Xenopus tropicalis: one gene and its partner. The protein of the gene in region 2 binds, or shares a complex with, the protein of the main gene of each other region. Links are inferred from orthologs where the notes say so. Each region holds a gene or a part of one and is shown on either strand. Other genes may lie near its edges.

Region 1 (4,283 bases), on a different chromosome or scaffold from region 2:
TGCAGTTTTATAGATACCTTCAATTAAGGCACGTATTCAAAGCGCAATTTGGTTCACTAACAATTGACACGAGCTCAACCCCATGGGAAATAAGACTCTGGGATCCGGGAGGGAAGAAACTCCTCTCCCAACTGTACAAAGTTATACTGAAAGTAACACCCTCCCCATTTGATAAAGCTAAAATGAAATGGAACCAGATACTCCCACAACTAAACGAGGAGCAATGGGAAGAAGCAACGGACCACATATACGATTTTCTCATAGCCACTAGAGATAGAGTTATACAATTCAAATTCTACCACCAAGTATATATCACCCCAACCAGACTTAAAGCTATGGGCAGATCACCAAATGCAGAATGTCCTAAATGTCACAATGTCAACGCAGGATTTATCCATATGGTATGGGACTGCATCCACATAGCTAACTACTGGTCTGGAATCATACAATATCTCAACGAACAACTAATCCTACCTAGAGTCAGGACCCCAGAAGTATGCCTCCTAGGTCTGATAGACGAGCTAGTTCCACAAAATCAACCCAGAAACTTAATGAGGGCAACACTGTTCTACGCAAAAAAATTACTTATCATGAAATGGATGAGTCCTATTGCACCCACAATAGCAGAATGGGTAGCGATGACCCGCAATCTAAAACATAACTACCATCTAACAGAAATGATTGAATCCAGACCGATAGTAAGCTATGGTAAATGTATATGATCCTATAACAGCTGAAACAATAAAACAACAACAATTCTTTGTACTGTACCTTGCTAATTTGACTGCAAAAGTTAACAGCTACATTGTTTGTAGCTAATGTCTGTATATGTTGTATTGTTCTTAAAATGAAAAATAAACACCTTTTAAAAAAAAGACAATTATCAGTAAATGATCAGCATTGTCTGACAAGTAGCTGCTTCTAGTAGCTCTGTGTGTCTTCACCCTTAAAGGAACAGTAACACCAAAAAATAAAAGTGTTTTAAAGTAATGGAAATATAATGTGCTGTGGCCCTGCACTGGTAAAACTGGTGTGTTTGCTTCAGGAACACTACTATAGTTTATATAAATAAGCTGCTGTGTAGCCATGGGGGCAGCATTCAAGCTGGAAAAAAGGCACAGGTTACATAGCAGATAACAGATAAGACACCATTGTATTCTACAGGGTTTATCTGTTAGCTGCTGTATAACCTGTGCCTTTTCTTCTTTTGAATGGCTGCCCCCATGGCTACACACCAGGGTTTATATAAACTCTAGTAATGTTTCTGAAGCAAACATAAAACTTTTACCAGTGCAGGGCAGCAGTACATTATAGTTTAATTTCTTTAAAATATATAAATTTTTTGGTGTTACTGTTCCTTTAAGGTGGCCACACACGTGGCGATCTGACGATCTTTCATGCAACCATCGGTCGCACGAAACATCGCCAGATCCGCCACACACCATTCAGCTCGCCAACATGCCATACACGCACCGAATATCGTACGAAACAAGGTTTCATACGATATTATCGGTGCGTGTATGGCCAGCTTTAGATGTAGACAGTGGTATTTAGAAACAATTTGCAATTAGGCTTCATTTTGTTTTTTTTCAGTGTAGAATTGAGGCAGCCATCTGGGTGCTGAGCAGTAAGTGTTCCAATTTACTTTAGAAACCAGCTAGTGTTTCAGTTTAGCCTAGCAACCAGGCAGTGGTTTGAAAGCCAGACTGGAAGATTAATAGGACAGGGGCTGAATTTAAAAAAGTATAATACAAAGCAACCTTAGAACTTTAGCCTCACAGAGCGTATGTTCTTTGGCTTTCCTGAAATAAGCAGAAAAAGAATGGCAAATAATTAAAAAAAAAAGCTGCTAATAGGTCATTCTATTACAAGTAACCATTTGTATGATCTTATGGTGACAGAAATCCATTAGATGACTGCTTGTGAGGTACCATTCAGGAACATGAGCTGAGCTGGATGTTTAAAGGGGAAATAAGCTATACAATTACATTATAGCATTAATCCATTTGGTATTATCCATACTGTGAGACAACTTCCAATTATTCCTCTTTTATTGGTAGAAAAGGAGATCAATCCCAAGGCTAGATTTTCTTTAGCACCTTCTGCCTTTATTCCCTCATAAGTACCATAGTCTGGTTGCCAACCTAACAAAGCCATAGCAACAAGCATTCTTTTTAAACCAGAGAGCTGTATTACAAAAATATCTATTGGTTAAAAAAAGAAAAAGCACAAAGAGTAGTTAAAATAACTAGACATTCCGTTTAGTCACCCTTGGGGCAGCCACACACAGAGGCAAGGGGGTCGCTACACACAGCCTTCATGTGGAGCAGGGGCCAAGCTGCCACGTATCGCTAGAAGCTACTGTACAAACAATGCCACACGGTTATATCATGCTAACAATTCTTTCATTAGCAGCCTCCATCGTAACTTCGTAACATCGTCCGGTACAGCAAAAGCCATTACAAGCGAAAAAAAGATTGACATCGCTCCCACAACCAATCCGCCAATAGACTCAGGCTGCATTGTTCATAACTGCCTATCACAGAAGGGGGCGGGGAAAACCGCAAGCTGCCTATCACAGAAGGGGCGGGGAACCCGCAAGCTGCCCAATCACAGAAGGGAGCAAGGAAATTACTTACGTAACAACTATTTCAGCAGCGCCCACACCCTGTGCTGATGGGAGGGAGGGCGACGGGCTGGAGACAGAGCTCTCTTACTTTCTGAGGGAGAAACTGTGTCGCACAAACAATTTATAGAAAACCTTGTGAGCGGGGGCGGGGCGTGACGCATGCCAATACGTCCTGTCCATTTAAACCTGTGCCCAAAGAAATTACTTGCACCCGGGTATGCCCGGTTGCGGAGCACAACTGGTATCGCTTCCCTAAAGTAAGCTTACTCCAACAGGGAACGCCGCGACCATTTTCTCTCTATGCCTTTGCGTCCGATTTTTTTTTCTCGTTTTCCTGCCACCGCCGCATTCTTCCGCTTAATCGTCAATAAAAATCCACCGTAGCGATATAAAACGCGGGAATCACAAGCTACACAGAGAAACACAGCCGCAGCGCTCCCTTACCTCGACTGTACCATGGCGCCGGCTAAACTAGATCTGCGCTTGCGCAGTACGTGTAATTGTATATGACGTGGTAATGTTTAATACGAATTAAAAATAGTTTTGACCAATTTATTTAGAATATCCTATGCATGAATTTCTTTATACATTCATGACGATTCGTTTCTCGTATGATAAAGGTTATTCATTGTAATCTATCCGGGGACTTTCCAAGCGTGGGAAGCTGTCATTTGTGGAACTAGTGTCATTCTTTGGCTTTCATTCCAGTCCGGGGAGTTTCCTAACTCATGGCGTGTGCAAGCTGGGATTTACACAGGGGAAAAACTATGTAATTATTTACCAGAATGGCTGATTATTATTATTATTAACATTTATTTATAAAGCGCCAACATATCCCGCAGCGCTGTACAATAAGTGGGTTTCATACATTGGACATACAGAGTAACATATAAAGCAATCAGTAACCGGATACCAGGTCAGGGGAAGAGAGCCTCTCCCCAAAAGAGCTTCACTCTACAAGGAATTACTGCATTTCATACATGTTGGGCCATACAGAAGTAACATTATAAAGCAATCAGTACCGATACAGAGGGGAAAGGGAGCCCTGCCCAAAAGAGCTTACACTCTACAAGGAATTACTGCATTTCATTACATTGGACATACAAGAGTAACATATAAAGCAATCAGTTAACCGATAACAGGAGGGAAGGGAGCCCTGCCCAAAGAGCTTACACTCTACAAGGAATTACTGCATTTCATACATTGACATACAGAGTAACATATAAAGCAATCAGTAACCGATACAAGAGGGGAAGAGAGCCCTGCCCAAAAGAGCTTACACTCTACAAGGAATTACTGCATTTCATACATTGGGCATACAGAGTAACATATAAAGCAATCAATAACCGATACAAGAGGTGAAGAGAGCCCTGCCCAAAAGAGCTTACACTCTACAAGGAATTACTGCATTTCATACATTGGGCATACAGAGTAACATATAAAGCAATCAATAACCGATACAGGAGGGGAAGAGAGCCCTGCCCAAAAGAGCTTACAATTAGTACTCCATTTAAATTTATGAGGGAGAAAAAGAAAGGCTGTACTGCAGGGTAGCCAGATTTTTCCAAACTAGCCAAAGTCAGTTCTAAAACTAGCCCAAAACTAGCCAAAAGCCACTTTGAAAGTAGCCCAAAAATGTATGTATGTATATCTT
Region 2 (4,378 bases):
ATCCCATGGGCGGGGGGGAAGGCGGTTTGAATTGCAGGGCCTGCTTCATCTATAGTGATAGAAATCCCCCCACCTCAGATGCACCTATCTACACCAGCTTGAGCTGGCAGGGAATAGGTGGGCACAATTGATTCAGCAGGTGGGTAAAGGAAGGGCTGGGTTGAAACAAGGCCCCTCCGAAGATATTATACAGGGGGCCACTGCCCTGTAGTAATCACCACATTCGAAGGTGGCAGTAGCTTCAGGATTTTGCATTAATAGTGCATTAATAGATGAATTTGCACTTAATTTGGAACAGGAAGTAGGCAGCAGTGCCAATAGCAACTATACAGAAGTGCAAGCAGCCCCTTTTGATGGAAGCACCTTTAACAAATGGGATTTTTTCTGCAATTGACTGTGGCCAATTTATTGGGTACTTGCAGTCGTAACAGACCCGTAATGTGTTATGAGTTGGTCCAGAACTGCAAAGGTCCCTAATTCCAACACCTTTGCTGAGTGGTCTTTTGGCTGGTGTTATAGGCCAAACTGTAAGATCAGTCCAATTTTGCATTCCACGTGTTGCTGCACTATTATCCAGCTGATTGTCCTGTGCAGAAATAGGTCAGATGTTCTGCTCCTTGTCCTGTGTGGACAGCTTTATTGAATTCTACCACAGAATACCAATAACAGATTCAAGGCAATCTATAATCAACTTTTTAAGAATCACTGTTAGATTTTATGCACATTTGAGTGCTGGGAAGTTTTTTGGTAGGTTATGAGTATATTTAGATTTAATAAATAAAATACCATGTCACCCTCTTAATTAATCATAGCTCTTAAAGGCTTCTGAATGACCTTTTATAAAGATATCTAGAATCTTGGCCTTAATATAGCATTGGATTACTGTTCTGTGAGAGAAAGGGAGGGGACTTAAAGGGACAGTAACACCAAAAAATGAAAGTGTATAAAAGTAATTACTATATAATATAATGCTGCCCTGCACTGGTACAACTGGTGTGTTTTCCTTAGAAAGACTACTATAGTTTATATAAGTAAAGCTTCTGTGTAGCCACGGGGGCAGCCATTTACAGGAGAAAAGGCACAGGTTACTTAGCAGATAACAGATAAAACCCCATTATATTCTACAAAGCTTATCTGTTATCTGCGATGTGCCTGTGCCTTTTCTCCTTTTTCCCAGCTTCAATGGCTGCCCCCGTGTTGACATAGCAGCTCATTTATATAAACTATAGTAGCGTTTCTGTTGCAAACTTACCAGTTTTACCAGCGCAGGGCAACAGTACATTATATTTTAATTACTTGAAAACACTTTCATTTTTTGGTGTTACTGTTCCTTTAACTATTTGGTTACACTTTCCATTTAATTAGTATAATGTTACTAATATCAACAATAAATAGGTGTTCTGCAGAGCAAGACTGAGGCCACCCTGTTACATTCCTAATAACAGTGTATAGGCAGTTTAATATGGGAAGGATATACATTATTGATAACTCTTTCATCTCTACCAGTCTTATTGGCATACTCACCCCTCTGTCAAAGTCATACTCATAATAGATGATTTTGGTGTCTGTTAGCACAAATAGTCTCTTCTTAAAGTTAAGAGGTGATGTTTTTCGCTTCTGCTGGGATCTTTTCAAAAAAATACTCTCTAATATACTGGCAGTGGCAGCCATATCTTGTATTCTTCTTATATATGATTAGAGCTATAAGGTCTAGCCGTATCAGCACACCAGAGTGGGGGTTCTGCCTGGCCAGAATCAAATCTAGTTTTCCACACTTGAATAACTTTTATAAGTCTCCTTCCCACATGCTGTAACATTGGAAGCCATGTTCTCACCAGTGAAAGTGATGGAGGTGGTCTGTGAGCAAACTGGAAAAAGAGTAGACAAAGTGGAAATCATTTTTAGATTCTGTTATTGTTCTCTAATTTCTCCCAAATATTTGATAATATTTTCTTTACACACTCACCCCAGGCTTTACACATATATCATCCAGTATGTTTTCCTTCCCACATCATACATTAATTCTGCTCAGTGTATGCCTAGAAATCCTTTCTCATATGTTCTCTACTGAAGCACACCAACTAAGTTTTCTTTCTATGTTCCAAATAAAAATGCACACAAATGTTAAATACTGCCAGTATATTTTCTTTCTAGTTCTATCATTTTCTGCTTCATATGCAAAAAAAGAGAAACAGTAGGGGGCAAAAAAAAGAAATAAACGATATGTAATATCTCCATTAGTCAGCAAAAAATAGCTTATATCCTTGGGCATATTATTTTTAAGCATGGCCTATAGAACACGAGTGCTCTATCATGGCATAGCTCAATCCATAGCTTATCCCCTAATTAGCATCTACTCTGCCTTTTAGTTGCTGTTTCTTGGCATTTTTTATCTGACTCAGCAGCTATTACACTGTACACTTGTACACTGAATGGCTCTTGGATCACGTGGCATATTCGCAGCTGGTGAAGTGCCCAAATGTGGTTGTGTGGTGTGATTCGTCTTAATGGAAACCATTCAATGCTAGTCAAGAATATGCCACATGTGCCATAAGATCAAGACTGAAAAAATTCCACTAACACAGCTCAACTTTGCAGACCTTTCATGTCTTTATCACTCCCATTCAATCTGAGGCAGTGGTTCCCATACTGAGGGGACTGCCTTGCCTAGGAGATATCAAGCAGTGATAACTGCTTTGATATCACTATTTCACTCTCATACATAGAGCAGGTCTCTAAAGGTCTTTTTTTAACATGTTCTCCAAAACTTTTTCTTTTTCCTCATAAATGCTGCCTCAGTTAATTCTGTAGAATTTAACTCAGTATCTGAATGTTTAATAGTAAAACCAAGTACTCACATGAAAAATGCTGGACGTTCTGGTTTGGAAACTCAGTTCAGTAAGACTAAAGCAAACAGTGTGGTAGAGGCAAGGACTGCGCAGAATAACTCTCTGGCTAGGAGGAAGAAGTGCTGGGTGGTGAGATGAGAGTGGGTAGGTCTCTGAATACAGATCATCTGCCAGACAATGTTAAGATGCTTTGCAGAAGGAGGGCAGACCCTGCAGAATGAGAAGCTCTGCATGCTTTTCTTACTTTTTCACAAGACTCCCAGTTCCTCTTTTTAGTTTCCTGTGTCAGGAGCTGGCTTAGTTTGTGCTAATTATGATTACAACATGATGACAAATAAATACTGTGTGGCACAGTACATATGCCCTAATCACAACATTCACTTCTTACTACTCTTAATTACTGTATCGGTCAGTAGAAATTAGCTTCAATTACATTAACAACATAGTCTTTATCTTACTAGAAAAACACCCAACTCCAATTTCCATTTTTAAAACAAAAGAAGGAAATTGTGGTACCTACATGAATAGTCCTGCCCTGGGACCAGTATTTAAGCCTTTTTTTTGCCCGATTAATTGTGCATTGTGCATAACCATAAATCCGGAAAGGTATGTACTAAATCTTTGGCAGGATGACACTTTACTTGCTAAAGACATAGCACTGACCTTGTTGGCAGTCGAATGGTTCAAAGGAATCAAGCTTTTCATTGGAAGCGGGAAGACCAATGAAGAAAAACAATATAAGGAAAACCTCTAATACCCTTAAAACCTATGTTTCTAAAGAGTTCTAGTAAATATTCGTAACTATGTTATCAATTGGAATTTACACAACCTACAGTTCAAACCCCCAGCCCAGCTGGCTTCCATTTGTTTAGTGTTTAGAAATTCTAAACCCATTGCCACATACTGCATCCCTTTGTAGATAATGATAAGATGACCACGTGATCTCCCCTACTACCCTCCCTGGTTGGGCTCCTCTGGCCTTCCTCTAACCTTGCACCCCTGGGTAAGAGCCATTGAGTGGATCACCAAGAGGATATAGACTGCTGCTGCACATAGCAACGACTGATAACTGCTTGTGCATATGTCAATGGTGGGAGTGGCCGATACATAAGCCCAAACCTTTTTATAATAAACTATTTTTTTTTTGCACAAATTGTAAAAAGAAGAAGCAGATAATTGTTAATGTGAGAGTATTAAAAGGGAAAGCCTTTATCAATGATGGAAAGTCAAGGAGTCAATTAACACTTTTGCTAGAATAAGCAGGACTCACTGTAGGATACAAGAAATCTAAAGTTGGGAGGGACTTGACCACCTAAAAAAAGCAGAGTAGGATGATGCAAAAGATTTAAATCAGGTATTTGTAAAGGTTTACAACCAAATTTCAACATTTAAAGGAAAAGTTCACCTTGACAAAATCAAGGGCTCCTGATGAACCACATTTATTAACACAATGCTTTCTTAAGGCTTTCTTAAAAGTGGTATTTAGAATTAAATGTTACTACTTTGATAAGGAAGTATAATGTGTTGCA

The links.
Region 1: the proteins of btk (region 2) and birc2 are in contact, whole or in part, in a crystal structure (PDB 6W7O), measured with the Homo sapiens proteins. The link is inferred for Xenopus tropicalis from reciprocal best matches to the Homo sapiens genes BTK and BIRC2. Residues at the interface, in NP_000052.1 of Homo sapiens: Leu483, Asn484, Arg487, Glu488, Tyr551, Ser557, Lys558, Arg562, Lys595, Met596, Tyr598, Glu599, Arg600, Phe601, Thr602, Glu605; in NP_001157.1 of Homo sapiens: Pro280, Ser281, Ser282, Asn301, Asp302, Asp303, Arg314, Cys315, Glu317, Ser318.

Annotation. Positions count from the first base shown.
Region 1 is NC_030678.2:162,215,852-162,220,134, forward strand, and holds the start of birc2 (baculoviral IAP repeat-containing protein 2), read right to left. Parts: upstream 3,098-4,283; 5' UTR 3,074-3,097; intron 2,745-3,073; exon of another isoform or gene 2,640-2,744; intron 1-2,639. UniProt on the Homo sapiens protein: Multi-functional protein which regulates not only caspases and apoptosis, but also modulates inflammatory signaling and immunity, mitogenic kinase signaling, and cell proliferation, as well as cell invasion and metastasis.
Region 2 is NC_030684.2:37,635,644-37,640,021, reverse strand, and holds the start of btk (tyrosine-protein kinase BTK), read right to left. Parts: upstream 2,984-4,378; 5' UTR 2,859-2,983; intron 2,095-2,858; exon of another isoform or gene 1,967-2,094; intron 1,869-1,966; 5' UTR 1,672-1,868; coding exon 1,525-1,671; intron 1-1,524. UniProt on the Homo sapiens protein: Non-receptor tyrosine kinase indispensable for B lymphocyte development, differentiation and signaling. Binding of antigen to the B-cell antigen receptor (BCR) triggers signaling that ultimately leads to B-cell activation.